Arabidopsis thaliana: one gene and its partner. The protein of the gene in region 1 interacts with the protein of each later gene in a pairwise test. Each region holds a gene or a part of one and is shown in the gene's direction. Other genes may lie near its edges. The genes, in order: AT5G52970 and NAPRT2.

The links.
Region 2: the proteins of AT5G52970 (region 1) and NAPRT2 interact in a two-hybrid assay, tested with the Arabidopsis thaliana proteins (one large-scale study listed by BioGRID).

What each region holds. Positions count from the first base shown.
Region 1 is NC_003076.8:21,472,330-21,487,984, forward strand, and holds AT5G52970 (thylakoid lumen 15.0 kDa protein), read left to right. Parts: upstream 1-7,052; 5' UTR 7,053-7,290; coding exon 7,291-7,495; intron 7,496-7,791; coding exon 7,792-7,895; intron 7,896-8,072; coding exon 8,073-8,163; intron 8,164-8,242; coding exon 8,243-8,311; intron 8,312-8,390; coding exon 8,391-8,500; intron 8,501-8,596; coding exon 8,597-8,689; 3' UTR 8,690-8,927; downstream 8,928-15,655. Other genes in the region: AT5G52940 (hypothetical protein (DUF295)), read left to right, coding at 1-1,060; AT5G52950 (LIM domain protein), read right to left, coding at 1,558-2,098, 2,183-2,374, 2,497-4,610; AT5G52960 (tRNA dimethylallyltransferase), read left to right, coding at 4,921-5,327, 5,835-5,940; AT5G52965 (egg cell-secreted-like protein (DUF1278)), read left to right, coding at 6,512-6,874; AT5G52975 (egg cell-secreted-like protein (DUF1278)), read left to right, coding at 9,185-9,550; AT5G52980 (ER-based factor for assembly of V-ATPase), read right to left, coding at 10,000-10,176, 10,251-10,336, 10,424-10,562, 11,047-11,313; AT5G52990 (SNARE-like superfamily protein), read left to right, coding at 11,859-12,677; TAP46 (2A phosphatase associated protein of 46 kD), read right to left, coding at 13,325-13,580, 13,661-13,941, 14,034-14,105, 14,190-14,225, 14,309-14,470, 14,577-14,681, 14,801-14,887, 15,179-15,301 and 1 more.
Region 2 is NC_003071.7:9,963,730-9,981,133, forward strand, and holds NAPRT2 (nicotinate phosphoribosyltransferase 2), read left to right. Parts: upstream 1-7,873; 5' UTR 7,874-8,089; coding exon 8,090-8,238; intron 8,239-8,329; coding exon 8,330-8,474; intron 8,475-8,562; coding exon 8,563-8,682; intron 8,683-8,774; coding exon 8,775-8,909; intron 8,910-9,002; coding exon 9,003-9,064; intron 9,065-9,160; coding exon 9,161-9,236; intron 9,237-9,459; coding exon 9,460-9,561; intron 9,562-9,695; coding exon 9,696-9,812; intron 9,813-9,902; coding exon 9,903-9,961; intron 9,962-10,066; coding exon 10,067-10,241; intron 10,242-10,324; coding exon 10,325-10,459; intron 10,460-10,544; coding exon 10,545-10,643; intron 10,644-10,726; coding exon 10,727-10,835; intron 10,836-10,911; coding exon 10,912-11,024; coding exon of another isoform or gene 11,025-11,063; exon of another isoform or gene 11,064-11,102; coding exon 11,103-11,180; 3' UTR 11,181-11,478; downstream 11,479-17,404. Other genes in the region: AT2G23400 (Undecaprenyl pyrophosphate synthetase family protein), read right to left, coding at 249-528, 573-692, 779-846, 935-1,172, 1,482-1,639; CPT (cis-prenyltransferase), read right to left, coding at 2,518-2,962, 3,043-3,113, 3,192-3,429, 3,855-4,012; ICK1 (Cyclin-dependent kinase inhibitor family protein), read right to left, coding at 13,291-13,357, 13,473-13,739, 13,858-13,901, 13,995-14,192; AT2G23440 (uncharacterized protein), read left to right, coding at 15,753-16,001. UniProt on the Arabidopsis thaliana protein: Catalyzes the first step in the biosynthesis of NAD from nicotinic acid, the ATP-dependent synthesis of beta-nicotinate D-ribonucleotide from nicotinate and 5-phospho-D-ribose 1-phosphate.

The sequences.
Region 1 (15,655 bases):
TGGGAAACCTGTGTTTGTAAGATCTTCTCTTCTCCATTCTAATGCCTTGTCAAATTCCTTGCTGCAAAACCCTCCTTATCACGTCTTCACCGCTGATCCTTCCGGACCAAGATACCCGGATCTCGGAAAACTCATTATTTTCGAAGCTAATGGATATGACAGCACTCATTTGGAAAAGAAGGTACCAATGGAGTTGGTGGATGGAAAGGCCAGGGTAACTATCGGGTCCTCTCATGGCTGGGTAGCTACTTTGAAAGACGATGGAATAGTGCGTCTCCAAGACGATCTAAACCTGGTTGCATCTGATACAGATCCGAAACGCATTCCCCTGCCTCCTCTTGTGACTCTGCCTCATTGCCAAACCAAAGTTGTCACCAACGTCGCCATGTCTTCTTCTTCTCCTGAGGATGAAGACTGTGTTGTCGCTCTCAAGTTCTTAGGACCTCAGCTCAGCTTATGTAGACCAGCTCAAAGAAACTCCGAGTGGACCAACATCAGAATCGAAAACCCATGTTTCTACTCATCCCCTGTTATGTTTTCCAAGAAAGACGGCACGTTTCGAATTCTTGGATCTGGAGGTCACCTCATTGGATCATGGGATCTCCACAAACACAAGAACAAACCCAAGATTCAGAGGTTGCGATTCAAAAACCTTCCCGAGCTCACCAAGACCAAAAGGGAGCTCTTGCATTCGTGTTGCACGAGCCAACACTTGGTTGAGTCAACAACCACAAATGAGACTTTCTTGGTTAAGTGGTATAGGAAGGACACATCCAATGGCGTGGTGAAAATGAAAACAAGAGCTGTAATGGTCTTCAAGCTATACGAAGAAGGGAAAGCTGTTTACACTCAAGACATCGGAGATCTCTGCATTTTCCTGTCAAAGTCTGAACCCTTTTGTGTCACTGCTAGCTCCTTTCCCGGCATGTGCCCTAACGAAGTCCACACCTTGGATGTTGACGAACACGCACTTGTCGATCTGTCTGATTCCTCCATCATTAGTGGGATTTGTACATTCGGGTCCCCTTACTATTTTCCACCTCCAAAAATTGACTCTTAGTCTTAGGCTGGAATTGAGTTCTTGTCCTAGAAGAGTCTTGTTGTCTTTTCTTAGACCTTTCAAATATCAAAATCTATATTATATATTTTCTGTGAGATTGAGATGCATATGCTCTTGGATATAGCAAATTTGTAATATCTGCGATGACTCGTCTTCATGATCAAATGAATATGATGAACTAGAACTCTGCTCTTTGGAAAATGGTTCTTTTCCTACCTTTGTCAAAGATGCACATGAATAAGTACATCTTGTCCTTTGTGTCGTGATAAGTAGACTTGATTTGAATCTCCCAAACACAACCAATGACCTTTGTTTGAAATTGGAACCAAATTGATTCACTCATTCTTGTATTAATATCTGATTTTGTAAAAAAGTACAATGAGATTCCATCTACGTATAGGGTTTGAATTACTAACTCTAACAAAGAACATCCCACTCAAACTCTAATGATACATTTTCTTTTCCCATTTTTAGGCTTCATTCACTTGTAAGTGTACCTAAGAACAATCATCCTGAAACAAAGCCTTTGGTACTGAACTACGAGGCAAAGTCTCACATTCGTAGTCATCTTTGTTACCAGTTCGTATTCGTTTGGTCTCTATTGTTGTCATTGGTGTCTCACATACTCTATCATATTCCACTGATCTTTGCTCCTTCTTTCTTTTGGCCGTTCTCTGTTGCTGGTCGGCCTTGCCTTTAGAGTTCTTCGTTTGTTTTGGTGCCCAGACTCTACAAAGATCAGGCATCCAACTTGTGAAACTCGAGAATCTTCTTGCCCTCTCCCTCATTCCTTGTGCTTCAACCTCTTTCTTAGCTTCTCTGCTTTCCTCAGTGTTTTTCTGCTTACTCGTACCAGGAACATCTTCATTACTTTGACTATGATGATGATTTTTGAAATTGCTATGGATATTTTCTCTCCCTGATTGACTACTGTCTTCATTGTTCATGAAACTATCTTCAAGATCCTCATCAGTGAACATGAGCAGATCCATCTCTGTATATATTATATTGACAGCTCCTCCCAGAATATGCTGATACCTGAGAAGGGGCAAAAGTAAGATGCGTTAGCATGAATACACATAACCAAGCTACAATATACGTGCTGAGAATGGCATTATATACCTGGCTTTTATAGTTTTGTCTACATACTTATCAAGGCTCCATTCACCAAAGAATCCGCCATCTAACTTGCACTGAATGCCCTCAAGGAACATGCAAATCTGTTTTGCAAACTTCTGTGTCACAGATTCTTCATTTCCCAAACCTTTCTTACATCTTAGAATCTCCATCCTGAAAAGAATCTGCAGCTCGTATCTTATAGCTTATTAAAGAAAACAGAACAACAATGCCAAACAATTCAGCTTAGATAAATGAAAAGAAAGCATCAGTAAATGAATAAGTTGGCTACTGTAACCAAACAGAAAGTAAAAGGATACTCTCTAACGATCCTACTGGGTCCAGCTTCATCACAATTCCGCTCACTAGCCACTGATGATGAATCTTTCTTTTTGAACTTGGCAACTAAATCTTTCGGATCTTTCAGTAACATCTTGGTTAGCTCGTCAATGACCAACAAGAGGGTTCCACTCTCACAGCTATAGTCCTTCTCAGCTCTTTGAGAGGAGTAGAAGACACAAGACTTGACAAGCCGCTCGGCAAGAGCTGACAAGTCTATTTCTTCAGACTCTATCCCTTGCTTGATTTTACTAGGAAGACTAACGAAGAAATTCTCTGATGATTCTGATGCATGAACATACGTATTACTTTCCTGCTTTCCGGATATACGATTTCCACTCAAAGCAATGTCCTCTTCAGCTAGAGGTAAAGGAGAACTAGCTTTATCTGTCTCTTCAGAGGAGTTGTTCTTTTCCTCAATTGGATTTGCGTCCACATCCTCCAATGCATTGCAATTACTAGCCACGGATAAGCTGCAACCTCTGGGTTTACTAATCTGTTTCATCCAGCATTTCAGAAACTTAAGTTTCTTCGACTTGCTATACTTGAAGAAATAAACATCTTCTAGATCTATTTGACCATAATCTTTCACTGATCTGCAGAACTCCTCCCAGCTAATGTCATTAAGAGAATTTTTCCTTGGTTTTCTTTTATATTCGCTACAACTGACTTTCTTCCTGCTATCTTCATGATCCACAGTTTGAGGAGACACTCCATTGTCAAAAACACAGATTAAGGCCGAGGAAAAAGTGAAGGGCTTGAGGATTCCTGTCCGCAAACTACCATTGCTATTTGAAAAAGATACCAATGCTGAGAAACCTTCCCTATAGAGATAACTTAATAAGATCTGCCAAATGGGTGATGATCTTTTGGCTACTCTCTCACCCGTCTCCTTTCCTAATATCTGAAAAACCAGGTCAGCCCAAAACGCACTCTCCTCCTCCTGATCTTGATCAGAGTCCTGGGAGACTTGATGAACAACAAAAGTATCGCAAGTATACCTCTCTAGTTCAATAAGATCATCACACATCCTCAAGGCCTTAATACTGAGTTTGGTACTCCCATCACAAAACTGTTCAACTAGAGAGTCATGATTGACTGGCTCAGTCCCACTAGCTAAGTTGATAAACTCATCACACCTCTTCCCACTAAATATTTCAGAAGAAGAAAACTCTAACTCACCACCACACTTGCATTCCATAGGTTTACCATTAATATCTGCAATCTCAAGACTAGCCTGAAGGGTAAATTTCTGGCTAGTAGATAGCTTTGGGGAAATACCAATTGCTGGATATATTAATCCAAAGGGAACAACTGAAGAACCAAAAACAATTGAATCAGTAGAACAATGCCCCCAACCCAATTCTCTAATCCCACTATCGAAAAACCCAGACTTCAATCCCAATTCACATCTTTCATCTCCAGATTTAACATCAATCCAGCTTAATTGAATATCTCTATCATCAAATAACTCATTCACACAATAAAAAATCTCCCTTAACTTTGACTTAAACAAATCCAAGTCGCTAAAACACTCATCACCACTCTTAACATCAAGAAACTCAGAAACCCAATCCAAATCCCTAGAAATTGGGGAAAACATCACAACCAAATTCGACCTCACAACATCTAATCCACCATCAGTAAATCCAGGAATCATACCTATCTCCGGATCTCGAACCACCGGTTCCCAAGCGTAATCATAAACAATCTGTCGCAAATTCGCCGCGACATTAACCCCACGAGGCGATGCCGCCGTCGCCACCGTGGAGCTAGATCGAAGTTCATATCCTTTAACCGCGTCGATGGCGCGTTTGAGAGAGACGAGTGTAGGGTTAGGAAGGTCAAATGAAAGCGGAGAAGATGAAATTGAGAGTGACGAGAGCTTTGAGGATGATAAGAGAGAAGAAAGAGAAGAAAAGAAGAATTTGAAAGAGAAGAGAGAAGCAGATAAAGGAGGAAATAAGAGAAGCTTCTCGGCGGCGGAGATCACGACGGCTAGGTATTGCTCCGAATTGGGTTTGATCAGAAGCGGATTAAGATCTATCAAAAGCACAAAACGCTGCGTTTTGGCGTATAACAAATCTCCAGCCATTGAAATGAAGCAGAGAGAGAGAAGATTCGATTTTGGTTTTGAGGTTGAAGAAGAGAGGAGGGAGTGAGCTACGAGGTTATGTTTTTGGCGGGAAACATATTGCCACGTCATTAGATTGTCAATTTATTGGGTCTTGCTTACTACTACATCATAAGGCCATTAATGGCCCAACAAGAGTTTTAATTTGGTGACGTGGCAAAATTGAAGATAGAACAAAGATTACGAAAACTTCCTCCGCTTCAGATTTTTCCTTTCTGCAAGAATTTTCCTGGGAAAATCAGGAATTTTCTCGGAGAAAATTCTCGTAATCATGAACTGTGTTTCTGCATTTGAATTTGTTCCTTCAAGTGCTCTATTTCCATGTGCACAATCATCAATCCCTGCGAAATTTCTTCACATTTTGAGCTCAAAAGCCTCGATTTCTCCCAGATGTCGTAGTTTCGCTTCTTCTTCTTCTTCCACAATTCGGAGGAAGCCTCTAACTCTAGTATCTTCAAAATCTTCAGACGCGGAGGAGGTGTCAGATACGGAGGACGAATGGCTGAAGAAGCTACCAGAGAAGAACAAGCCACTGTATTCGCATAGCTTACCTTGTATCGAAGCGTGGCTGAGGAAATTAGGGTTTTACCAAAGTAAAGACGATAGAGCTGTTTGGTTGATTCAGAAACCTGATTGGCATGCTCAACTATCTCTTGATGTCACTGATCTCTGCATTAGGTATGAAGCTGATTGCTTTTGTAGTTTCATTGAGTTCCTGAAGTTCTCAGCTCTGAGATGTTGTTGATAAATTCCTGTTTTTAGTATCCTAAATGAATGATTTCTTAACTAGTTTAAGTGTTTGTGATTGTGTAGTTAAAGCTAGTTGTGTTAACAATGAGGATATTGATGTTGAGAAGAAGAGTTTGTTTTTAGCTTGGATAAGTATAAAAGTATAGCATAGTGTGATGAATTAACCTCTTGAAGATGATTGTGAAGTGAATCCTAGTTCAGTATTTGTAGTGCGGAACCGATTGTTATGCGGTTGGTTGCATCCGCTGTTGGTGCTATCTAATCTTGATGTTTTAGTCCAAGGAGTTGAGAATTAGAAGCTAATTTAATGTCTCTGTGTATCAATCCAACAGACCAAATAAGTTGATGCATTGCCATGTTCTCTGATCATTTCCTTTGGAGTTTCTCTATGTGTAATCCCGCCAAGTTGGACTAACTAGATTGCTTGTTATGTAGGTACATGAAAAGTGGGCCGGGAAATCTAGAGAGAGACATGGAAAGAAGGTTTAGCTATGCGTTGAGTAGAGAAGATACCGAGAATGCCATACTTGGAGGACCTTAAAGAATAAAAAGAGTTTGTTTGAGTATCTTTGTTCTTAAACTTTGCTTTTTCAGTAGTTTCTCGTTATATGATGCATTTGCTTGTTTGATCCGAAAACCATTTTTATCACAATTCTTTAGCAGGTACGGTCTTTCAAAACTTGAACAATGAATGTGAAAATTATACGCATTTGGAACCAGTAGGTAGATAATCTTACTGCATCCCACATGAAGAACCTATGCATTATCTAAGCTATTACTAATATGTGAAATTTGGTGTGTAGGCATCGGTGACTTTATTTACTGATGCATAACTTTCACATCTTCTGTTTCAAACCTTTAGCAAGACTACATTTACGTTAGTCAACTCAAAGTAATGAGAGAAAATTAATACATCAAACTTAAACATGAGTTACATATTGAACACAGAATTAAAAGTGATATGTTACTCTTGATTTATCAAATAAAGCCTTGTTTCCTGATACTATAAATTCTAAGTTTCTTCCGATATCCAAAACCATCCCAAGCATCTAAGTCTAACATAAAACCAAAAAGAAAGAAAGAAATACGTAGAAAAAGGATTAACAAGAAAGATGGCAACCAAAACTTTTCTCTCAATCTCTTTAATGGTTTCCCTTTGTGCTGCCATTTTTGTCTCTCAAGGAGTAGCTCATATGCAAACACCACCAACGGTTCCAGGACTTCTCCTACCTGGCTTACCTATTGATCTTGTAAAATGTTGGTCGTCTCTCTTCAATGTTGAAGGATGTGTGCTCGAGATCGCCAAATCAATTTTCTCTGGAAAATTCGAAAATGTCGAAGCCGCATGTTGCAAGGCGTTTTCAACCTTAGATGCTAACTGTTGGCCCCATATGTTTCCGTTGAATCCATTTTTCCCTCCTCTCCTCAAGGACAACTGCGCTCGCATTGTCCCCAACTCCCCTACACACAACTAAGAACAAGAATTATTGCTGGTCTACGCTTTTAAATTAGTCATTAGCTCCAAAGTCTAATAAGTTTCAATGTTTATTTTGTTAGCAAAATGTGAACTATATCTTGGAAGAGTTCTCTTTTTATAGTTTTTCTCAATGACATAAAATTTCAATATTTTCCTTTTATATAATAACTCTTATAAATGTGTTTTGTTGGTTGCACAAAAGAAAAACATTGGAACCGACCAAAAAAAAAAAACATTGGAACCGACCAAAAAAAAAAACATTGGAAAATCGTACCTCAAAATGCAATAACCAAACAAACCTTCTCATATGGATCCTATAGTATGGTTATTTCCGGTTTAGTTGGTTCGGTTCTGTACCGAAATTATATCGAGCGTTTTAACGTTATCCAGAACGAAGCAGAGTAACGAAGAGTCATGGCGATGCTTTTTCGACCTCCTCCTTCACAATGTAGAAGCTTCTCTCCTTTTGTCTTCAACTACAGCTCCAGAGAAGTTTCTTCGTCGTCTCGTCTCTCCTTGAAAACCTCCGGCGACGAAGAAAACTGGGTTTCACGTTTCCGGTCGAAATCTCTCAGTTTGGTGTTCTCTGGAGCTCTTGCTCTCGGTTTATCTCTATCAGGTACGTTTCTTTGTTCCTTTTGACCAAGATCATTTCTTTTTGACTCAATATTGAACAACATGCTCTTTGATTTCAGTAACAATGTGGATGTGTTGCAAAACAATCTAAAATATCACAAAGTTAGAATTTTTGTTTACTCTGCAATCTCAAGCTTGTGACTTTAATTACTTGTTGCATTGGCTTATCAAAGTCAGAATTGTGAAATTTCGGACCTAGTCTCTTATTCCATAACTATGAACAATGCATATGCAATTTCAAGATTTTAGCTGTCAATAACTTTGAATCTCTTTTTGCAGGCGTGGGGTTTGCAGATGCAAAAGTTGGTGTTAACAAACCAGAATTGCTTCCTAAAGAGTTCACTTCTGTTATAGATGTTGCTGATTTCCTCTCTAATGGTCAGGTATGCATGCTTGTACCATCCATCTATTTTTGAGGTTTGATTAAAGCACTTGTTTCTTGTTAATGTCATGTGGATCTATTTGCTTATTCTGTAGATTTTTAGTGTATTTCTGATTTTGAATGTTTTCGCCGCTTTTGGTTTTCTTTTCTTAATGATGTTGTTCTTTGAGAGTTATAGGAGAAGAGAATTGCTCAAGAAATCGCTAATCTTGAGAAAGATACAGGATTCAAGTTGAGAGTCTTGGCTCAAAACTATCCCGTTACCCCTGGTATGATATATGCTTGGAAAACAACATACTTGATCTCTATAGAAGTTTACTTAGTGACATTTCTCTGTGTTTGCAACAGGACTAGCAATCAAAGATTTCTGGCAGGTGGATGATAGCACAATTGTGTTTGTCGCTGACCCGACTTTTGGTAACACCCCAAACCTCATTGCTTAAGTTCTTGAAGTATCCAAATGGGAAACTGATTGTGATAACCGGATTTGACACAGGGAACATATTGAATTTCAATGTTGGAGCTACGGTTGATTTAGACATACCTCGTAGTTTCTGGAGTCGACTGGCTGGGAAATACGGCAATATGTTTTACTGGAAAGAGAAGGCAAGAAAGCTACCTCGATTAAAAAAACCGATGATCGCCACTTTCTTTGTTTTTTGTTTGCATGTCTAAACTGTTTACAATATGGCTTGAAACCAGGGAGAAGATGCATCTATTGAAGCTGCAGTGATGGCGATATCAAGTTGCTTACGAGAACCAGTTGGTCGAAACAACTGTGCAGAGATCCAATGAAGTATATGACCCCATCAAGCGTATATGTTATTATCATAATATCATTGTATAGATTGGCACCAAAGAGATACAGAATTTGTAAGAATGAATCCACGTCTAGTAGTAACCTCTCTCCATTTCTCAGCTTCACCTACTCAAACAAACAGTTTCAATTGGTTACTTGTATCTTTTAAAACAAACAAATAGAGAAACCAAAATCAATAAACTGGAATAAGATATTTCAAATTGTAACAGCGAAACCAGACTCATGTTGAGATACATTTACATTAGTCAACTAACTTAATGTAAGAAAATTCAATACATGAAATCTCTAAATGAGTTACATTTTTAGACAACATTTAAAATTGATCTGTTACACTTTGAGTTACTTTTGGTTTATCTAAGAAAAACTTGTTTCGTGATCCTATAAATACTACCTTTCTTGCTAAATCCAAAAGCATCCAAACATCTAAACCAAAAAGGAAACAAAACATATCAAAGGGTTAACAAAGAAAGATGGGAAGCAAAACTATTCTCTCAGTCATTTTGATTGTTTCCCTTTGTGTTGCCATTTTTGTCACTCAAGGAGTAGCTCATATGCAAACACCACCGACGACGGTTCCAGGAATTTTCCCACCTGGCTTACCTATTGATCTGGTAAAATGTTGGTCGTCTCTCTTCAATGTTGAAGGATGTGTGCTCGAGATCGCCAAATCAATTTTCTCTGGAAAATTCGAAAATGTCGAAGCCGCATGTTGCAAGGCGTTTTCGACCTTAGATGCTAACTGTTGGCCTCACATGTTTCCGTTGAATCCGTTCTTCCCTCCTCTCCTCAAGGATAGCTGCGCTCGTATTGTCCCCAACTCCCCTACACACAACTAAGAGCAAGAATGGTTGTTGATCTACACTTTTAAATTAGTAGTTAGCTTCAGAGTAATAACCTAAGTTTTATAGTTAAATTCTATGTTGGCAAAATGTGAACTCATATTTTATGAGACCTCTTTATAGGTTTTCTCAATAAAGTAGCAATATTCATCGAAATCTTTTCTAATGTGTCTTTGTCATATATATACGAATAGTAAGTATAACCACAAATATTTTTGAGATCCTTAAAGCAGAGAAAAGGATATTATAGATTAAGATAGAAATGAAAAAGCTCCAATTTTATTTAAACAAACTTAAACTCCAAATTTTATTTAAACAAAACTTAAATACAGTATTGTGCTTCTTGTCTTTTGGGTACAAAAATTTTCCATTTCAGGCAGGTACCAAGCTAAATTCTCTACAAATCTCTTAGTTTTTCTCAGTAGGAAAAGAATGCAAACAAAGTTCTATTGATTTTTCTTAGTAGTGGGAGTGAACGATGGAGAGCTCTGAGTGAACGATGGAGAGCTCTGAGTGAACGATTTAGAGCTCTGAATCTGATCATCTTTAGACGTTTTGATTATAAATAGAAGCGTTTCCACAAGCATCGCCAGAACTAGTCCAAGAATCCCACCAGCAGCACTCTGAAAGGAAAAGAAAAACATGATTCACAAAAATCCTCTTGATGGTTTTCAGAATCTGACAAAATGAGAGATACCAGAGCGGGGTTGCGGTTGAATAAAGCTCTGAAGGAAGCGTATCCAACCAAATATCCAGTGAACATGGTAAGACCAACATGTAAACCTATAAAACGAGTTTGCAAGAAAAGCAAAATCTTCAGTAATGTGTAATACTTTTCCAAGAACAAAGTAACCGAGCGACAATGCTTACCAAAACCGAGCTGGTCTTTGTAAGAAGAGAAAGGCTCTTCGACTTGTTTCTTTGGTGTTATATCTTTAACAAGCTCAGCATACTCCTTCCTCTCTGCTATTTCTCTGAGCTTCACTAATCTCAGTTTCAGTTCTTCGCTCTATCAATCGAAAAATCAGATCAAATCAAACATGGCGAGACATGAAGAGGTTTAAACATAGATAAGGAAAACTTCAAAGAAAGAAACCCAGAAGCATCCTTGAATTACACTCAATAGAACCGCGGCGACGTTTCTTCGATTATGCTCAACTTTTCCAATCAATTCAACAGAATTGTGCATATTGGATTTGAATATGAATCGAACAAAACTATGAAACCACAATTTTGTGCTAGTTTTGACCAAGAGATAACTAGAAATCTTCCATAAATTTCTCTAAACTATACCAAAAGACAAATCTCTTTTGTTGCTGGATTGTTCAAGCAAGTTCAGTATCATCTATCTTTCAGTGGAAACTATTAACAGCAGATTAGTGAGCAGAAACAGAATCTAATTAGGTCCAATTTCGCCGGATTCCAGATTAAATGAGCCTGATAGCGAAATTCCCCAGCAAAGAAACTTGATGTAGAAATGGAGGTTCGTGTACCTTTTCTCTGGGTTTGGGACTGGTGAAGACGAAATTGGAGCCGGAGAAAAGTCCCAACAAATCCGGTCTGGTCGACGGATCGGATCCGGTCCATATAGCGCGGAGCAATTTGTACGGAATGGTGTTCTTCGAGCGAAGATCGGAAGCAATTCCTCTGAGCTCGTCGGAGAGACGACGATCACCGGAGGCGAGAGCGAGAAACGATCGCAGCGGTTCAGTGGCGGAGAGAATCAGACCAGAGCCATTTTTCGGGTCGGGTTGATCCATCTTTGATCGGGTCCAAACACTTGACGTTGTTCAGGCGGGTCGGTTCTCCGCGATGTTTTAAGCAACGTCCAAAATAATATATTTGGATTAGGTCCCTGACTTATACAAGTATCAAATACAAGACTCTTATCCGACGTGGCAATATTTGATACGTGGCATTACCCTAGCACGTGTGAATTACTCGAATCACGGCGACGAAAGCTTAGTATGGGGGTATTATCGTAAATTTCAAAAAGTGAGTCATTAAACAAAATATTCTATTGGGCTGTATCTATCTTTTTTTCGTTTCGTCTTCTCCAATAATGATCTCCATTTCTGTTATTTTCCCTAGAAATTTTCGCAAACCCTAAAAAGAGAGAGAAACATAAAAATCTCCATTGAAACAGATTGGATTGAGCAAGAGAAAGAGATCATGTATTTCTAAAAAGAGAGAGAAATCCTCTGATCTCCTCTCTGATTCGATCGAGATCGCATCATTTCCCTAATGATTTCAAAAACCTAAAACGATCTCTTCTTTTTTTTCGCTTCGATCTCCATTGAAAAGGATGATTTCAAATCCAAGTTTATTATCGTACACTTGCATTGCGAAAGGAACCGTAGTTCTCGCGGAGTTCGTTTCAAGGCAAGAGCCAGGAATCGAAGCTATAGCTTTACGATGCATCGAGAACACGCCTCCTCATCATTCAATGTTTTCTCATACAGTTCACAAGAAGACGTATACATTCGCAATCGACGATGATTCCTTTGTTTATTTCTCGATTTCTGATGAATCCATGGAGAAACCTGAATCATTCTGGGTTTTGAATCGTTTGAGATCAGCTATTGAAGATCTGATTAAAGACGGTGGATCTGATGTTGAGACGCTGATTAATCCTGTTTCTCATTGTCTTCAATTGAAGCTTGATCCAGTTTTCGCTGAGATTGTTGGTGTTGTTGATTTGGAATTATTGGATATGGATTTGGTTGGATCACCGAGGAGTGTAGCGAGAGAGAGTCGAAATCCGAGTATTGATTCATCTAAAGGAAGAAGAGCTGCTTTGATGCCACTTTTGGGGAAACCATTGAAGGCGTTGAAGAAGAAGAAGAGATTGCATAATGAAGCAAAAGGGGGAGATTCTTGTGAGGTTGGTTCGATTCAGGAGATATCAGAGAAGAATGTTGATTTATGTGGGAATGGTAATAATGGAGTCTTACGCAAGGAACTGAGAAATGGTTTGTTGAGTGATCATCATCATAGACAAAAGGCGAAACAGATTTGGAAGAAACATGTTTGGGTTGTGTTGATGTTTGATTTCTGCATCTGTGCTGTTTTGTTTGGAATTTGGCTTTGGATTTGTGAAGGGTTTCAATGCATTCAAGGGTAAAAGTTATCATCATCTGTGTACATCTCCAAATTCATATTCTTTGAATCTGCATCAAAATTTGATCATTTGACATCTTTTTTCTGGGTATCCGTTTTTTTGGATCAAATCTGATCCCTTTTGTTATCTCTCTGTTCTTGTCAACTTTTTTCATCTTCTTTGATTTTTAAAGTCGCAAAAAGTGTTGTTTCCAGGAGGAAAACTAGGGTATAGATTGAATCCTGGTTTACATGTTAATGATGTTGTTAATTGTACTTTGGAAGTTAAATCATTCACAAGCAAAATGTGTGTTGTTATTATCTCTTTTTTTTTTCTCGCTTCTCTTTTGTTGTTTGATTCCATAAATGGTGCTGTGATTGAACGTGGGTTACACAATAATAGAGGACAACAAAAGATGGTCTCAGATCCAGTCACACGTTAGTATTTTACTAGATATATACATTGTATCTTTAGTAGTCGGCGTATTTAAAAATAATATTCCCAACGAAAATGAAAGTGAATCCGTGAATCCAAAATCTGTAAGTCTAAGGCTTAAGAGTAGAAAGATGATTACATTACAGACATTATAATAAGTGAACGAAGAGGTTTTGGAAATAAGAAACAAAAGAGAGGGAGAAAGTGTTAAATAATGTGTGTCTCGGTCTCTAGTCTCAGCCACAAGGTGTGAGTTTCTTGTTACCTGCACCGCGAGGATTATCATCCTTCCAATCATCGAAAGCTCTAGCTTTCATCACAGCTTCTTCGTCTTCATCATCATCTTCCTCGTCTTCTTCTTTTCTTCTTAGAGGTTTATCATTGTACCATGAGGTGGTTGCTTCTTCAATGGCTTTTTTCGTCTGCTCTTGCCAATCATTCATTATGTTCATCTCTGTTAACCCAGCATCCTCTATGCACATTGTTGGCATCCTACAAAACCCAAGTTTAATCACCATTTTTAAATCTCAAAAAGGATTAAGATTTTGTAATGAGCAATATTTTGTGTCTACCTGTGACTTGGTTGGAAGACCTGAGCTATCATTCTTTCTCTCTCGGTAGAGAGCGGTCCACCCACGATGCTTGCTGGACCGAATATAAGAGGTTGGTTCTTGTGTTCGTGACCTTGTGATACCGAAGCTCTTCCTTCTAACACATCTTGTGCAAATGTGGCACAAGTGATTGGTTGTGCCGGTTTAGAGTACTGTATCCTTGCAGCAGCGTCTCTGTGCCAGGTTTCAGCTTTCTTTGTACGATCATCAAGAGCATCCCGAGAAAATCCACCCTCTCCATCCTGATCAAAATATCATAACACGTTTTCTTCTTTTATATGTTTATCAAATAGTTTTGTTCGCACCTAAAAAAACTAACACCACGGTAAGCTACCTTCAACTGTCTTTCCTTTATTGCAGAGAGCATTTCCTCTTCTCTCTTTAGCATTTCCAACAGATCAATAGCCTGTAACGAAGTTCAATCATAAGATAATGCCTCCTCAACTTGTGACAAATCATAGGGTTCTAATGAAATGATTTTTAGACAAACCTTACAAATAGCCAAGTTAATTGAGGAGAGCCAGGCCTGCAGAGGAAAGCAATAAGACAAGAAAGCTTAGAAGAAAAAATCGAATTAGAGAAAGCAGCAAAACAAAAAGTGGGACAAACCTCTCTCTCTTCTTCGCTGTCATCATCTGGAATATCATCTTCTCCAGATTCAACCGGAGTCGACAAAGCTGATGCTTTAGTGGAACGTCCACGTCGCTCCTTCCTCTCTTTAATTTCAAGAAGCTTTGCCTCTGCAGCCTTTTGACGTTTGAACCGAGCTATCTACAAAGTACCATAATCATGAAGACACAACACGCATTTCAAAATCCGAAAACTTTAAACTTCATTCTCGTCAGAACATAAACAAAAGAAACAGGGCTGAATCTACCTTGAGAGCCCTTCGATCAGCAGGTGCACCAGAACCTCCTCGTGAAGAAGCCTCCAACTCCTCATCCGGAACAAGCTCCATTGCCTCACAGAACGAAAAGAACTCCTAGACACAATAACAAAACTATACATCAATCTCAAAAAAAATCCAACCAAATGCTCATTCCCACTTGCAATAGCATCAAAGGGATACAAAAACATGTAAACACTCAGCAGAAAACTAACCTTCAACTTAGCATACGAGGCTTTGACAATCTGAATCCGGTCCTCCTGTATGATTTTCTCTGTCAACTCCGCAAGATAATAAGGCACCTATAATCACAAGACAATATAATCCCTCGTCACTTTATAGAAATGTCAACTCGCAACACAATCTTATGATCTCAACACAATCTTATGGTCTCCACACAGAGTAAGTTCAATGGAAAACGTTACAATCCAAAATCTCAGACTCCATTTTGAATTTCAGTCAGTAGCTAAAACTAGAAGCATCAGGACAAGCTAAAGTTTTTCACTTTCAGATCTTTCCACACCAAAACTAATAACAAAACTAGAATACAAACAAATTACAAAAATCCAAACAACAGAGACTCAATTGCATACCAAAAGATATTTGAGATTGTTGGTGCTAATATCTTCTTTAGTCTCGTTAGACGAAAACAGCGCCAGCTTCCCGATCATATCTTCGCACTTCTGAAACATCTCACATCCTTTCTTCACAACATCCTAACAAACCAAAGGAAAAGAATGAACTAAGCATCCCCGGAAATGTCCAATTCAGTAAAAACTCGCGATTCGGATTCGAAATACCCATTTCAGATAAACACCCTAATCGAATCTGTATATAAAAAAGAGGTAGAAGCTTCCACCTGATCAACACCAGACTCTGAAGCAGCAAGATGAATTTTCCTAGCTTGCTCGAATAGCACCGATAAAGGCATTTCCTCCATAGCCAAACCACCCATCACAGGCAACAATTCAAAATTCCTTAATGAAATCGAATCCACAAGAATCGAGTTTCTTCGAGAAGAGGATCGTCTTTTGAATTTTTTTAGGGTTCCAAATCGAAATCTGACTAAT
Region 2 (17,404 bases), on another chromosome or scaffold:
CTTTAAAGCCCAAACTATTTCCCGCAAAGACTGATTTTCAATTTTAGTGCTGTAGAACTAGGTTTCTGAGATATTTTCTTGTATAGCAAGATATTGATTTTTAGTAACAAACTGATACATGCGTAGAAGGAGAAGCAAAGACATCACTGATTTTATCCGATTTAAAGACATATATTACAATGAAACGTGAAACAAAGAGCAAGTAGTTTGATAGAAATTATAGATGAATAAAGAGGATGAAAGGTGGATCACACGCGACAACCAAATCGTCTTTCCCTGCCCTGATACGAAGCGAGGGCCTCTAGAAGCTTATCCTTATCGAAATCAGGCCACAATACCGGCGAGTAGAAAAGCTCGGTATAAGCAAGTTGCCACAAGAAGAAGTTACTAATCCTTTGTTCTCCACTTGTCCTAATCATTAAATCAGGACTTGGGAAGTCACTACAATTCGTTAGAAGCTCTCTCTCGATCAATGCCTCGTCTACATCTTCCTCTCGGATCAACCCTTTTTCTGATTTCTTCACAAGACTCTTGCAAGCATGCATGATATCAAATTTCCCGCTGTAATCTACTGCCATGATGAGATGCTTATTCTTGTAGCCTTGGTAGCTTCCTCTATCTCATGGATTTCTTTGAGGAGAGATTCAGGGATCTTCGTTTTATTCCCGATAACAGAAACGCGAACTTCCTTTCTGTAACAACAAGATAATTCTTGGTAATGAATAACCAGAGAGAATATGTCAAAACAAAAGAATCACAATCGAATTTGTATATATACCTTTGAAAGTATTGAATGTTGGACTTGAGGTAGTGGTTGAACAAAGACATTAAGCACTTAACCTCAAACTTATATAATAACAACAAAATTTGTTAGTGTCTATAATTGTATGAGAATATAATCTACTTGTGAGATCTACAATGTAAAATGTCACACCTTGTCTCTTCCCCAATTCTCTGTGGAGAAAGCAAAAGCTGAGACTGTATGAATACCCAACTCGAAGCAGACCTCGGCTATCTCTATAATTCGTTTAGTTCCAGCCTCGTGGCCTTGTGCCGTCGTCAATCCGTCTCGTTTGGCCCATCTCCGGTTCCCATCTAGTATGAATGACACGTGTCTCGGCATCAGCTCTCTTTGTAGCTCCTCCTCTCGGACAACACAAGTTGCCTCATCACTATACAACCAAAAAATTATTGCTAAAACACATATATATTGTCCAAAAATTCTTCCGATGTGGGATAATTCTAACAAAAGGCTCTCTCTATGTGTACTTGTGTAGTATAATTTCTGTTGATAACTAGATATTAACTAGTGATTATAAAATTGAAATTAAATTATGATTCTCTTCTCGGGAGACTTTCAAAAATACCATTTATATGATGTCACTCTTGTACAAAACATTTTACAAATTATAGATTTACAAAACATTCCACAAACATAACTTACTAAAAACTAAAAGTATGATTAAAAAACCGTAAACTACCGTTTCTCGTTGTCATCATCGTCTCGAGCGGCTTTGAATTTGATGAGTCCAAGGAGTTTTGTCAAGAACACAGGGAAACATATATAGCTTGTGATAAAGAGACAAGGGATGAGAAACAGAAAGGGGAGGGCTACTAGAGTAGAGAGAAGAGACAACATTCTTGTCCTTGCTAATGCTTAATTTGGCTTTGCTTTAATGTTAATTTGTTCGAGTTATTGAAGCTTTGTCATACACATATATATACTAAGAATTCAAAGACGTCGCTTTGATCAATCAAACTACGCAAAGACAGGTCTTACGTATTAAACTCTTCCGTGGAGAATCATTTATATTAAGTTAATCGATGTTTGTAACGGTTTATCTATCTTTTTCCAGCTGCATTAGGGCTTTGAGAACCCACGTGATTGGTTTCTTGTGTCACAAGACTTTTATTGGTTTCTTGTGTCACAAGACTTTTATTGGTTTCTTGTGAAACAAGCCTTTTTTGGTTTCTTGTGTCTGGTGCTTCTGAAGAGGATCGGAAAAGGAGACCCTTCTGTGCGCGACGGTGACTTTAGGTTTTGATTCATGGATTTTTGCTTCGTGACGTGTCACTCTCTGGGGACTTCAGTTGTTTTGTGTGGTCGAAAAGGTGGGCTAATATACTTTGATTTGACACTTAGACCCATTTAATCGAGTGAATTTGGATCTTTATCAATCTATTTCCCGCAAAAAAAAAGTGAATTGGTTTGAAGATGTTTTAATTAAAAAATCAGAAACTTTGCCTAGTTTTGGGGTGATGGTTTGGAGTTTTAAATTGTAATGTTGTTGAACTAGAGGAATCTGAGGTATTAAAGTTACTTGTTTAGCAAGTTATTGGTTTTAGTAACAACTGTCAACTGATACATAAAACATGCGTATAAAGCGAAGCACGGAGAAAGAAATAAACGCATCACTGATTTTATTCGATTTTTACCGACACAAATTACAATGATACGCAAGAAGTTTGGTAGAAATTACAGATGAACAAAACATAATAGAGAGGATGAAAGGTGGATCAAACCCGACAACCAAATCGTCTTTCCCTACGCTGATACGAAGCAAGAGCCTCTAGAAGCTTATCCTTATCGAAATCAGGCCAAAATACCGGCGAGAAGAAAAGCTCGGAATAAGCAAGTTGCCACAAGAAGAAGTTACTAATCCTCTGTTCTCCACTTGTCCTAATCATTAAATCAGGACTTGGGAAGTCACTACAATTTGTCAAAAGCTCTCTCTCGATCAATGCCTCGTCTACATCTTCCTCTCGGATCAACCCTTTTTCTGATTTCTTCACAAGACTCTTGCAAGCATGCATGATATCAAATTTCCCGCTGTAATCTACTGCCATGATGAGATGTTTATTCTTGTAGCCTTTGGTAGCTTCCTCTATCTCATGGATTTCTTTGAGGAGAGATTCAGGGATCTTCGTTTTATTCCCGATAACAGAAACGCGAACTTCCGATCTGAAACAAGAAGAGCTTGCTAATAAATGAGCTTACCAATATGTTAAACAAATTTTTTTTATTATATTTATATTTTATACCTGTGGAAGAATTTGATGTTGGACTTATTGCGGTAGTGTTGGATCAAAGACATCAAGTTATCAATCTCAATCTTAATAATAACAACAAATTGTTAGAATCGATAATTGTATGAGAATGTAAGCTACATACTTTTTCCAAAATGTCACACCTTGTCTCTTCCCCAATTCTCTGTGGAGAAAGCAAAAGCTGAGACTGTATGAACCCCCAACTCGAAGCAGAGCTCGGCGATATCTATAAGCCGTTTAGCTCCCGCCTCGTGGCCTTGTGACGTCGTCAATCCGGCCCGTTTGGCCCATCTCCGGTTCCCATCCAGTATGAATGCCACGTGTCTCGGCATTAGTTCTCTTTGTAACCCATCCTCGCGGACAACATAAGTTCCCTCATCACTTCACAAACACAAAAAGCCAATGTTAAGTCATGATCCAACCAAAACTGTCTTGTTTCAAAATACCACTCTTCAAACACCAAATTTTGTTTTTGTCCATATTCAAAAATACCACAAACTAGATTTTCAGACTTTTATAAATATGGTATAGAAAGTGTTTATAAGGGTTTTATAACATGTGTGGCTAGAAATTGCTTATAAAGTTTACAGCGTGGATATAACTTAAAAGATTGACATTTTGTATGAAAAAATGTATATGTGTAACACACAGCAGATTAAGTTATTGCTAATTGGCTAAATGCATGCCAAATTTTATTTGAAGGTTGTAGGTTTTTAATGACAAGTTTGAAAATTTTAGTTAAGAGAGTACTAAAACATATAACTACTACTAAAACTAAAAGTATGATTAGAAAACGCGAACTATACCGTTTCTCGTTGTCTCGAGCAGCTTTGATTTTGATGAGTCCGATGAGTTTTAGCAAGAACACAGGGAAGCCTATATAGCTTGTGATAAAGAGACAAGGGATGAGAAAGAGAAAGAGGAGTGATAATAGAGAAGAATCAGAAGAAAGAAGAGACAACATTGTTGTGACAACTTAATTTGGCTTTGCCTCGATGTTTGTTTGAGTTATTGAGGCTTTCTCATTTACAGTATATATATTAAGAAATCAAAGACATTGATCAATCAAACTACGCAAAGACAGGTGGTAATACGTATTACACTCTTCCTTGGTGAAACTTTAATATCAGTTAATAGAAGTTTTGTAACGTTATCTATCTTTTTTCCAGCTGCAAGTTGTAACGTTTTGTAACGTATTACACTAGGGCTTTGGAAGTTGGAACCCACGTGATTGGTTTCTTGTGTCACAAGACTGTGATTAGCACCAATAATTTTAGAGAAATTAATTAAACTCTCTTATTTTTCTGGCCAATTACGAGTCTGGTTAAAATATATTGACCGAAAAAGGTCTTTATAAATTACACGGAAAATGTTGAGATGAGAAGAATCCAAAACTCTCTTATCACAGTATGTTAATTACCAAAAAAAAAAAAAAGGAAGTAAAATCACAGTGCTCGCTGATGATTTTTCTTAAATCATGGAACGTACATGAATTTGAATTCTTCCTCGTGACACTCTTTGGTTGACATTTTTAACCAACAGAATTGTTTGCAGTTGAAACAAGCTTTTGAGTTTTGACCGTACAAAATTAGTCGATATGCTATACGAAGATCTCTATAAGAAAGATCTGTCGAACCGAGTAGTTTGAAAGATAGTTAAGCCTGCTACATGTGCAGTGTTCTCCAAGAGAAAAAAAAAAACACAAGAAAACATGGGGCAAGTTCATGGAGTGTTAGACAAAGAGAAAAACGTGTCGTAGTTAACATGTCTTAAAAAGGCATGCAGATAAAGTTCATGACAGAAGGATTTCATGGTAAACTATGGTCGATGTATATGCCATCATCATGTGGAAAATGAATCATATGCTAGCTTTGTCAAATAAAAGAATATATAAAAGACATCTCGTACACAATATTATATTTTAGATTGAATAAATAAGAGTTCAGAATATTAATATACTTCGCTGCTCTTTTGCTACACCATAATACTGTGTTGAAACGTACATAACTACATATATGTGCAAGAAGATGTTATTATAGCCATTAAACTTGATCCTAAAAAAAAATCTTAATTATTTTTCTTTTCATCTTAAATACTAATTTTGTAACTCAATCTTAAATGTGCATATGCTTTTATCAAGTGTTTTTGATAGCTATATTATTTTAATTCTATTTATATGAAAAAAACATATACAGGTGGAAGATTTCTTTGTTGAAATGCAAGAAAAAATAATTTCTATTTGTTGAATAAATGTCTTAAATGGAGAAAGCTCCTTGGATATCATTGCATATGTTAAAATTTTCTACATTTCAACAAAGAATATAGAAAATTTCTATGTTTTTCTTTGTTAGTGTGACAGAATCTACTAAAAAATACATATTTTTATGCCAATGGTTAATATGTTTAACGTTTTGTGTTTTAGTGATATCATACAAAAGTTTCTAGCTAGCTAGATTTTTATGCCAATGGCTCTCTCCATTTTTTTATGATTAAATTTTCAAAAAACTAACAAGAGAACTTTGTGTATTATTTCTTGGTTTTTTATACTCCAATGGTAGGTTCTCTTAAAGGAGGTCTCTTAAAAAAAAAATATTCATATAAATTATTTTATTTCATACAACTTAATATTACAAAGCATAAAATATTAAAATACATTTTTTGGAAATATTATAAAATAGATGTGAAATAAATATTATAATGTTTAGTTAAATATATAATTTTGTCATAAATTATGAGCTAATTAAAACAAAATTAGTAAACCAAAACATTTAGGGGGATGTATTGGATTAGGGATTTTAGAAGATTTTTGTTTTTCTTAAAAACCATATCAAATCTAGTGTTATTCAAAAATTAAAAGGTTTTTGTTCCTCTACTCATCAACAAATTAAAATTCTTATAATTTTTTTTTTTTTGTTTGGCTTGAATCTGCATGACTCACTCAAATTAGAAGCCAATTACTATCATCAAATTAGAGATACATTTAACTATGAAGCGAATTACTATCACCAAATCATGAGCTATATGTGTTCCATAGTTACAGAGTCTATCACCAAAATACATAACGCCAACAAAACAAACTCCTAGTCTTGTACATCTATGAAGCCAATGACTCAAAACATACAACATAACCATCATGAAGCCAATTACTAAGAAAAAGCAACAAAAGAAAGAGATAGATACAGAGAAAAGAGAAAATACTTGAGCAAGTTGGGACTGAGTCAGCTTCTTGTCTTCTCGGGCTTGCATGATGGCTTTCTTCAACTTAGTGGGCACACGATCACCTGATTTTAAAACCATATAAAGGTGTTAACGATAACCAGCATTACGAATCAATCAAACACATATGTAGACTTCCTCTCGCTAATAATGCAAACTGAAGAAAATATTAATAACCCAAGAGAACAGACTAGATTACTAGAATGACTGTACCCAAGCAAAAGCTGGTTCTTATGGGATCCAAATCAACAACACTGATCCCCATGCAACAAACAATAAAACGAAACAGATCAATCAGATAACTTCTTCGTTTTCTAAAGAACCAAATCATCTACACAACTAAATCAATCAAAGCTTAGTCATCTTCCTATCTGACAATGCTCTGATTCGAGGGAACGAAGCAAGGGTTTGGTGGGAGATTGGATTTGGGACAAACACATATAGAATTGGGTCATCGATTTGGTGAAACGAACTCGGAATGGTGAGCAGCGTCGAGAGAGACGACCAATAGAGAGAGTGAGAAAATTTCCCGACGGAATGAAAAATAAAGACACAAGGATTTTTTGTTGGTTAAATATATCAACCAACCACTGACTGCCACGTAGGAGGCTCTCTCCAGAATTATTTGTTTTGATTATTTTTAATCAACAACTTCAAGAGAACCCTATCAAATTGTGATACTCATATCATGACACTGACAAATAAAAGAGACCATGAATATGGTTAGGCCATATGCGATATGGCTTCAAAAACCAAGTTGGGACAATCTTATGTTTAGTCTTAAGTTTGAGTTCATTTTAATTCATTTTAGATACTATTGTTTGATGTAAAATTAAACTTTGATAAATAAATGTACCTAAATTTGGATTGATTTTTTCATAATCATGTTTAAAATTTTTGGTGTTATGCAATTCTGTTTTGTTTTGTTTTTCCATAATAAGCATCTGAACATTTTTACAATATTTATATATTTTAAGAAACTGAAGTTTTAAGATGTATTAATCTACATTAACCTTTTCTATTTTAATGTTAACAAATATTATATATTATAAGTACAATATTCATCAAATACTATAACATATATGTGAAATGTAAATATTTACTACTAATCAAATATCATACTGCATATTTGATTGCAAAAGAGCTAAAAATCATTAATATTGCACATTAAAAATAGTCAATAAACTAAAATCATTAAATACACAAATATATCATAACACAGCAAGTGTGTACCATTATTAATCAATAGATTTACGCTATACAAGTTTTCCGAATTATGTATGTGAAATAAATCACACCAAAAAAATGTATTTGAAATGAAAAAATTCCCCGCCTCTGTAATTTAAGTTTTTTAGATTAAAACAGCTAAACTCTTTTCATTAATTTATTAGAGATACAAGATATTGTTATTTGTTACCAATACCAATATGTAAATTTTTCTGAGTAATTATTATAATTAGTTGAATTTGGCTACCATATGCCAATTTTCAACACATAAAATTCTTTTAAACGTGAAAATTCCAATAATCTAAGAGCCAACAACCACGAAAATTAAACCTCGTTTTAGTCTAAACTCTAAAATGAGAAATAATTAGAAACCAATAAAGGCTCTTAAAGAAAGACTAGGTCAAGTTCAAAGCAAGTTTTGCTTTGTGTGGTGGTCGTCGTCTCTTTCTTTAAACACACTTGTTTTTTTCTTTTTCCTTTGACCACTCCAATATAAACAACCAAGAACCAGTGTTCCTCGTCCATTCACTCTCTCGTAATCACACACACACTCACTCATACGAAGCCAATTGTTCCACACAAATTGGAAGCGACGACAATGGAGCCGAAAGAGAACGGCTCAGAATTGGGTCAGAAGATCATTGACGGACCAACGAATCCAATGGTCACACCTTTACTCAATGATCTTTATCAATTCACCATGGCTTATGCTTATTGGAAAGCTGGCAAACACAACGAACGATCCGTGTACAACACACAATCTCTTCTCATGCTCTGCTTTTGATGTTGAATTCTGAATGGTTTTGTATATTTGAAATTGTTTTTGTTTCCTTTTCAGTTTCGATCTGTATTTTCGTAAGAACCCATTTGGTGGTGAGTACACTGTGTTTGCTGGATTAGAAGAGTGTGTTAAGTTCTTAGCCAATTTCAAATTGACTGATGAAGAAATCGATTTCGTTCAAGAGTGTTTGCCTGGATCTGAGGTATATCAAAAATCTGTTTGTTTTTAGATTGTTATTGATTAAAGTTTGGATTTTTAAATCAGGGTTTTATGTTTGTGATTCAAATTAGGAAGCTTTTTGTGATTATCTTAGAGGGCTTGATTGTTCTGATGTTGAAGTTTATGCAATTCCGGAAGGATCAGTTGTTTTTCCTAAAGTACCTCTCATGAGAGTTGAAGGACCTGTTGGTGTGAGTCTCTTTGTCTCTTTCATTTGTGAAGATTGTTTAAGGAATAGTTTTCTTGAATGAATGATTCATCAGTTGTTGTAAAATCTCCATAGGTTGTTCAATTGTTGGAAACTCCATTCCTCAATCTTGTCAATTTTGCATCTTTGGTAGCTACTAACGCAGCTAGGCATCGCTTTGTTGCCGGAAAATCTAAGAGTCTACTCGAGTTTGGTGCTCGAAGGGCTCAGGTTTCCTATAAATCTCTCTCTTGTTTTTTGATATATTGCCTTTTGTGTTGTTCTTTCCATCTCTGTCTGATGTTATTAGTGTTGGAATCTTAGGGTCCGGATGGTGCAATAAGCGCATCAAAATATTGCTACCTTGGAGGTTTTGATGCAACAAGGCAAGTCTTGCTTTTTGTTTTTGTTGATCTGGAAGTAGGTGAAAGGGAATGTGGAAATGATGTGTTTTGTGTTGTTGGGTATTTTGCCAATGACAGTAATGTAGCAGCTGGAAAACTTTTTGGGATTCCTCTTCGTGGAACACACTCTCATGCTTATGTTAGCTCATTCATGGTCAGTTCACTTCAGCCAAAAGTTTCAATTTTTATGTGGAGGTTACATACTTGAGTTAGCTAGTAGAGACGATAACACAAAGTTTCGTGAAAATAAGATATTCTTGTCAATGCCTTTGTTGCTATAACTTTATTAGCCATGGTTCTGATGCACACTTAATATCCTCGCTCATAACAATATCACAAAAGCATTTTCGATATAATTAGTTAACTTTGGATTGCAGAGTACTGATGAGATTGTTGACAAAGTACTTCGTAGTGCTGATGGGAAAACCACGTGCGAGGATTTTGTTAGTCATGTTCAGACATGGTTAAAAAAGATTCAGGTTTGTTTATTGCACATTTTGCTCTTCCTCTTCCTGTTTTCTAGTCTCAGGACCATTGTTCTATTTCTGCTTCAACCCTTTGCTTGAATCTTTGTCACAGTTTTTCTTATGTTTTGTTTCTTTGTGGATGACAGTATTCACCATCTCTAAGTGGCATTTTCTCTGAGACAAATCAAAGCGAGCTAGCAGCTTTCACCTCATATGCACTGGCATTCCCCAAAACTTTTCTTGCCCTCGTAGATACATACGATGTGAGCATTAAACACCATAGTAGATAGCTCATTTGAGCCTTAGGATTTCTAATAAACTCTTATATTAGTGTTTTGCTGACTGTTTTACAGGTGATGAAGAGTGGAATCCCTAACTTCTGTGCAGTTGCTTTAGCACTCAATGACTTTGGGTGTGTAAGAATCTCTTATCAATACCCGATCGTCTGACTTGACTTTGTACTTCTTCAGGATCATATGGAATTTGAGATGCAATTGATGTTTATTGTGCTGCGCAGATATAAAGCATTAGGTATTAGACTGGATTCAGGTGATTTAGCTTATCTATCTAGAGAGGCCAGAAATTTCTTCTGCACGGTAGAGAGAGAACTAAAAGTGCCTGGTTTTGGGAAGATGGTCGTCACTGCTAGTAATGATCTAAATGAAGAGACGATTGACGCTTTAAATAAACAGGTGACTCCCTAACCCACTCTCAAATGCCATGCCCCCGAAAGATTGATTATTATTAAGCAGTGTTTTTTCTTTCATCTCTATAGGGACATGAGGTGGATGCTTTTGGCATCGGGACCTACTTGGTCACTTGCTATTCACAAGCGGCCTTAGGTTGCGTTTTCAAACTTGTGGAGATAAACAATCAGCCTCGGATTAAACTTTCTGAAGATGTTACAAAGGTTAAAACTCTCTCTCTCTCTCTTGGTGTTCTGAACATTCAATGTCACATTGCACTTAATCTGATTATCATTCTGATTCGTTTAGGTATCAATACCGTGTAAAAAGCGAAGTTACAGATTATACGGCAAAGAAGGTTACCCTCTGGTAGATATAATGACTGGAGAGAACGAACCACCTCCAAAGGTAAAACGAAAGATAACTCTCTCAAAGATTTTAATCTCATTACCTTATTGCATTTTTACATAATATCTTTCTTGATATCAAAGGTTGGTGAGCGTTTACTTTGTCGTCACCCATTCAACGAATCCAAAAGAGCATATGTAGTGCCACAACGTGTCGAAGAGCTCCTCAAATGTTATTGGCGTGGAAGTGCAGGTAAAGATTTTCCGGTACCGTAGAGTTATTAATGACAATGCTTTTCACTGATTATTGTTTCTCTATACCAATGAAGATGAAGCAAGAGAAGTATTACCGCCTTTGAAAGAGATAAGAGACCGTTGCATCAAACAGCTCGAAAACATGCGACCTGATCATATGAGGAGATTAAACCCAACTCCTTATAAGGTATGGTTTTATCCGACAAACATGTTTTTCAGTTTCTGAGAAATCTGTGTAAATGTTTTTTTCTCTCATGGTTTACAGGTTAGTGTAAGCGCAAAGCTGTACGATTTCATCCACTTCTTATGGCTAAACGAAGCACCTGTTGGTGAATTGCAGTGACAGAACAACCAAAAAGAAGAATCTGGTTTTGGTTTGGTGTAATGTATATAATTTATATACCACAGCATCACAAATATGCATTTTTTTCACTTTTAGTTTCTTTTTCTTACAACATTTTGATGATCTCTCATTGTCGTAGTAAGTTTCATTTTCTTACTGAGGAAAGAAACTCTCTGCGTTCACTGGAACTTTGTTTTCAACTGATTCAATAAGATTTTATATTTACAGCTGTAAACATACTGGAGACTGTAAAAACATTTACTCAAGTCAACGATTTTGGATCAGGTTTAGTTTCGTCATATGGTTGACAACTTACTGTTGCAAACGGATTGGTAAGCAGTTGAGTTAATTGAGTTTTTTCTAGCAGAGATTTGAAGAACATTACCTTTCTTCAAAAACTTCTTTAGGCGTTACTAGGACGTTTGGGGTGGACCTAGTCACTAACCACATATTCAAAATTCATTTCCAAAAAGATGAATTATGGAATATGAGAATAGAAAAATACAACAGAGTAAATGAGGAGTAAAACTTTATTACAGAAACTTACCAAACAGTAAAAAAAAATATGGAATATAAGGAAACCATTACTTAACGAAAAATCACTTAACAAGAATACAAGATGACTAAAAATGACAAGACGATAATCCATCCAAATTGAGGTTAAAAACAAGTGATAGTTTTGGTCTTATACAACAGAGTTATACAAGTGTAACTTTGAATTCTTATGGTCTCCAAATAGCCATGGCTTCGAGGGCAGGGCACTCGATATGGGCGTGGGTTTTCTTGGATGAAAGTTAAATTTGTTGATATAAAAGAAACACATAGTATACACAAAACTGGTCGGGACCAATACTCTTTTTTTTTTTGGCTCCGTTCATATTTTCAAAACAACAATTCTTTAGTGAAAATTAATAGATTGATTAAAGAAAAAAATGTTGAGAAAACATGAACTTTCATATTGTTGACGAAAAAAACATGAACTTTTCAAATGTCATTTAAATCCTAAAGTTTAGTTTGACTTCTTAAAAAATAGTTAATTTAGTTGACTTGGCCATTCCAAACATATCTTTAAGTTTCCCTTAACAATATCACGAAAATAAAACAGCCCTCGATGAAAGAATTGTTTTTGTTTATTTGAGTCCCTCATTTAACCTGTTTGTGATCTGAATTAAGCTTACATATACAAAATGGTCCATGATCATTTGTTTTGAAGATTTTCTGAAATGGTCCATGAAAGAGTTTTGTTTCCAAGTCTTCGGATAATTTGTCTAGTTACAAAATGGTCCTGCATCATTTGGAATAATGTATTTATGGCATTATCTCAAAATTCTCTAACCATTGGGCCAGTACAGTATGCCCTTTACAGATCTAAAGTTTTATTATATGCTAGTATTATTATAATTAAAATTTTGAAAAGTTTCAAACCAAGTTTCGTGTGATAGAATGTTTGTGATTTGTTATTAATCAATAAACTTTAAGAATAACAGAATCATCTTGAAATTCTGATTGGTCGAGCTCAATCATATTCGGTGCTGAATATGAAACAAAAAAATTAGTTGGTGTGGTTAGCTGACATGGTTGGTACGATTTTGTTCAACAAAAAACTGCACTGAAATTGTCGATTAGTTAATTTAAGTAGTAGAACAATAATAACTAATTTCATAGTACTTTTTAATCCATATCAAACGTTGTAAGAAATAAAATTCTAAAATAATTTTAAGCGTTTAGGGCGGTAAGATAATCTACCAAAATGCATTTGATGTTTTTGGTTGAATATTATTAAAACGGAGAAGACAAAAAAATGAGTGTGGTTGTACCTGTGTGGGGATAGAATTTTATCAGTCACCAAAAACATAAAAATGTACTAAAGAATATGCTAAAAGATACACAAGATTCGAAGAAGAGGTAAAAGTAGAGCTAAAAGACACGACTTTTCTGGGCTCTAAAATCTGTTAAAAAGCTTTCTTCTTTTTCTGTGCAATTTCGTACTTCTAAAAACATTCCTCCTACAAATCTTATATTTCCAAATCAACAAAATAAAATTAACTTATTCCCTGAAATATTAAAATCTAAAAAGTTAAAAAAAAAACCATAAACTTCTTCTTCTTCTTCACTCTAACTTTACCCATTCGTAACGTCCTTCTAATGGCTTCTCCTTCTCGAAATCGAAATTGTACCTAATTAAAAAAAAATAAACTCACTCTTAATTTTACCTCAAAATCAATTTTAAATTATGAATAAAAAATATATTATCTATAAAAATCAAACTCACAAAATAAAATAAAAACTTACTTCTTCTTGAATTTTTCTTTGAGTTGTTTCTCAGCTTCCACAAAAAAATCTTCAATTTCCGATTCCGTTGGCATCTCCGTCATCAATTTCGCCTTCTCCTCCTCCTCCGCCGTCACCGTCTCCTCCATCGTTTTCCTCCCGCTACAACAACAATCTAACGATTCTTTAACCGCCGATTCAAATTCCGATGAATAATTCTCCATGGATTTACTTAATTCTTCTTTCTCCTCCTCTCTCAGATTTTCAAAAAGCTTCCTCTTCGTACCCCTAAAATAACTCACAAGCAAGATTCTAAATTTATTGAAGAGAGAGTCAAATAAATAACCGGGAAAATAATAAAACCTTCAAAATTCAAATCATTTTCAGTTTTTTTTTTAACACTCACCGTCGATACGTCGACGTTTCAGTGTCACCATCTTTATCTTCCTCCTACAAAAATTTCAAAATTTCAAAAAAAAATACATTAACATTAAATGATACATATACAGTTACAAGAATCTAGAATCAACAACATTAAATAACCTCCAGATGTATTAATTCTTTCTTCTTATATTCATTGCTTCCACTACAAGACGACGAAACTCCATTATCACCGACGACGGAGACAGAGCTTGATTTTTCCGATCTAACATAAACAATTCTCCGGCTCCGTAGCTGCATATACGTTGACGAAACTCCAGCTTCTACAATTCCTTTAGCTTTTCTATATTTTCTCACCATCTTCGATTTAGGTTACGTGTGCGTGAAGTCACAATCTCTGTGAGAGAGAGAGATATGATTGAGAGGATGAGGAAGAAGAAGAAAGAAAGATGATGAATTTGGTTTTGAACGGTCAGGATTGAGTTTTGTGCTGTGTGTGATAGAGAAATGGCGTGTTTTAGTGGTCCCGTTACAGTGACGGGGAATCTTTAACGGGGAAACTGGAGGCGCCGTTATTTGGATGTTATGGAGTTACTTATGCCGATGGTTTGTTTTATTGACACGTGTCGGTTATAAACGGTGACTTAACGGAACGGGAGGCGTAATAATTGTGGTGTAACTAACTATTTTAAAAACCCTCTCATCTATTGGTAATTCACAGATTTGCCATTACGCGAAACCGTTTAAAATGTTTTAAATTATAATTGACAAGCTTTTTGTATAGTTGGGATGAATTTTATAGTTTAGGTAAAATTAGAAAGTTCATATTACTTTAAAATGAATTGGATAGAGACTATATATAGATTATGTGTATAGTATAGGTGGATTGTTACGGATAGCCTAAAAACTACGTACCTGTGAGTAAAATAAGGTAAAAGTAAAACTGACACTAGAAATTATATTTTTGTTATCCCTGCGTATTTGCTTAGCCTGATGTCAAGTTGTCAACAGCACGTGTCGATCGTGATATATTGGGCTTAATAAGTCATAATATAGTAAAGGTTTCTAAGAACTAAACTTGGCCTCCATCACTTCCCATGGGCCTTGTCAGCCTTTCTATGTTTTGTTTTTGTCTCAAAGCATGAACAAAATGGAGTGGCGAGTGCATTCAAATTACCATGTCTTGCTTTAAAAATTAAAAATATTTTTTTTTTCACTGAAAGATAAATATATACTTCATAATTTCCAACCAAACATACAAAAAAATGTGGATCAAGGACAATCATTCTAGATCAACCAGTATTACACTAGGCATTTTTTTCTTCCTCAAAAAGTTGTTTTAACCAAAAAGAAAACCTAGTTGCTACATACGATTAACGGCGATCATTTTTTGTTACGCTCTTGGCAATAAAGTGAGCATCAAGATTAGATCTCCTTAACTCACCAAGCAATTTTCAATCCAAAAAATTCCCTAGTTTCTCAATCAAAAGAAGGGACTGAAATTTACATGAAGGTCATGCAGACGACTTTTGTTTTAATTGAATAACATAAAACTTTTACTCACTTTACAAAAAAGTATGAATCTATAACCCTAGATTTATAAAGATATTAGAAAACTTTTTATAAATCTTAAATTAATAACAAAGAACTTTAATAAACTTTTTAAAAATCTTGATTGAATAACAAACGATTTTACATAATCGTTAAAGTTCTTTTAAAATCATAAACCAATAATACCCCCTAAATATTTAATTTATCTCCTCAAGTGTTGCGCCCATGTTATGTAAAATTTCATCCCTATAAATACATCAGATGGTCCAAGAGGTTTCATGCATCAATACATAATACATTTTCGCCTTCGACTAAATATTATAATTTAGCTTCTTTTTTTTTCTAATTCTCGTCTCGGTTTTTCTAGTAATGGCGACGATTAATGTTTACGTTTTTGCATTTATCTTTCTTTTGACTATTAGTGTTGGTTCAATTGAAGGCCGAAAACTCACCAAATTCACCGTAACGACGTCTGAGGAAATCAGAGCTGGTGGCTCTGTATTGTCGTCGTCACCTCCGACTGAGCCACTTGAGTCGCCGCCGAGCCACGGGGTTGATACCTTCAGACCTACGGAACCTGGTCATAGCCCCGGTATTGGACATTCCGTACATAATTAACGGAGAGGAACAATAGCATCGTCTATGTGATTACATGTTGAAAATATGATTGGCCTGGTGACTTTTTTTTTCTGAATATGTATTTACGTACAGTTTCGTCATATTCAGTTTCTTGCAAGTGTGATTGTAATAATATTTATTTGATTAAATTAAGATTGATGTAATCCATCTTATTTTAAAAGCACATACATTTTTTTATCAGGTTCCAATTTTCTCATATATTTTTCTATCGAGATGTGTCACTCGCTTGAACTAAGAAATTTTTCTATCGAGATATGTCATTCGCTTGAACTGAATCATACGTAACTCGATCTAATCACAAACCGATTTAGGAATAGAACTATAGAAGCAATTTCGATTACTTGTTTATGTCTTCAAAATCTGTACGTAGAACGAATAACTATCTTTGAAATAATTTGGTACAGATATTCCATATCTGCGTTTCAAAATTTGAGCCAGACATTATTTTGCATGGAGAAAAACCTAAAAGTTTGTATTACGTAATATTAGTCACTGAAAAACTTTAGTTTGTTTGTTAAAAGTTTTAGACGGATGTTAGTATTTGAGAAATAAGCAATATACCAAGTAAAAGATGGTTAAGAATTTAGAGACAAATAACGAAAACTGAAGCTATATTTCCATTAACGAAAAAGTAATCATGTATATCCATTAACATAATCTGTATTTCTTTTAACTAAATTATATATTTATAGCTACTACTTCAAAAATTAAGAAAATAAAAAATATTTCCAAAATACTGATTTACAATTCTCATACAAAATAATAATTAAGACAGTCAAGAACCTAAGAGTATCATTAAAGGGGGGATATTAGGGAGATATTAGGAGATTCTTAGATTGTAAATGATTAAATTTAAATGTTAATTGAGCAATTTTGCTTAGAGGCCCTCTAAGCTAAGAGATCCTCTGAAGTAAAATGTGGTGGTGACGTGGCATGATTTGGTTGGTTGGAAGAATAATATTAAAGCCGAATTTTTTTTCTTACCGTTAATTCTTCTACTATGTATAATAATTTATAATATGATAGTAGAAAACGAACGAGATACTTACACTTACTTTGATGTCTCTGAATTTGTACAACCGGAATCAACTAGAAATGCACAAGTGGATTTCACCTATTCTACATATATGCCTTCAAATCTCGAGAATATATTGGAAACTCGAACTCGAATTCGTAATCGACAAGCACATCAATAATTGAATTTGATTTGGTTGAATATATATGGAAATTTTTTAGCAGAAATTAATAGTTAAATTTTATGTTTTCATGTATGTTTTAATTTTTTGTATGTCATCTATGTATTGAATATTATGAGTTCAATAATAATTAAGTTTTTATATATTTTAATTTTTAAATATATTTTTTTTAAGAACTTCAACTTA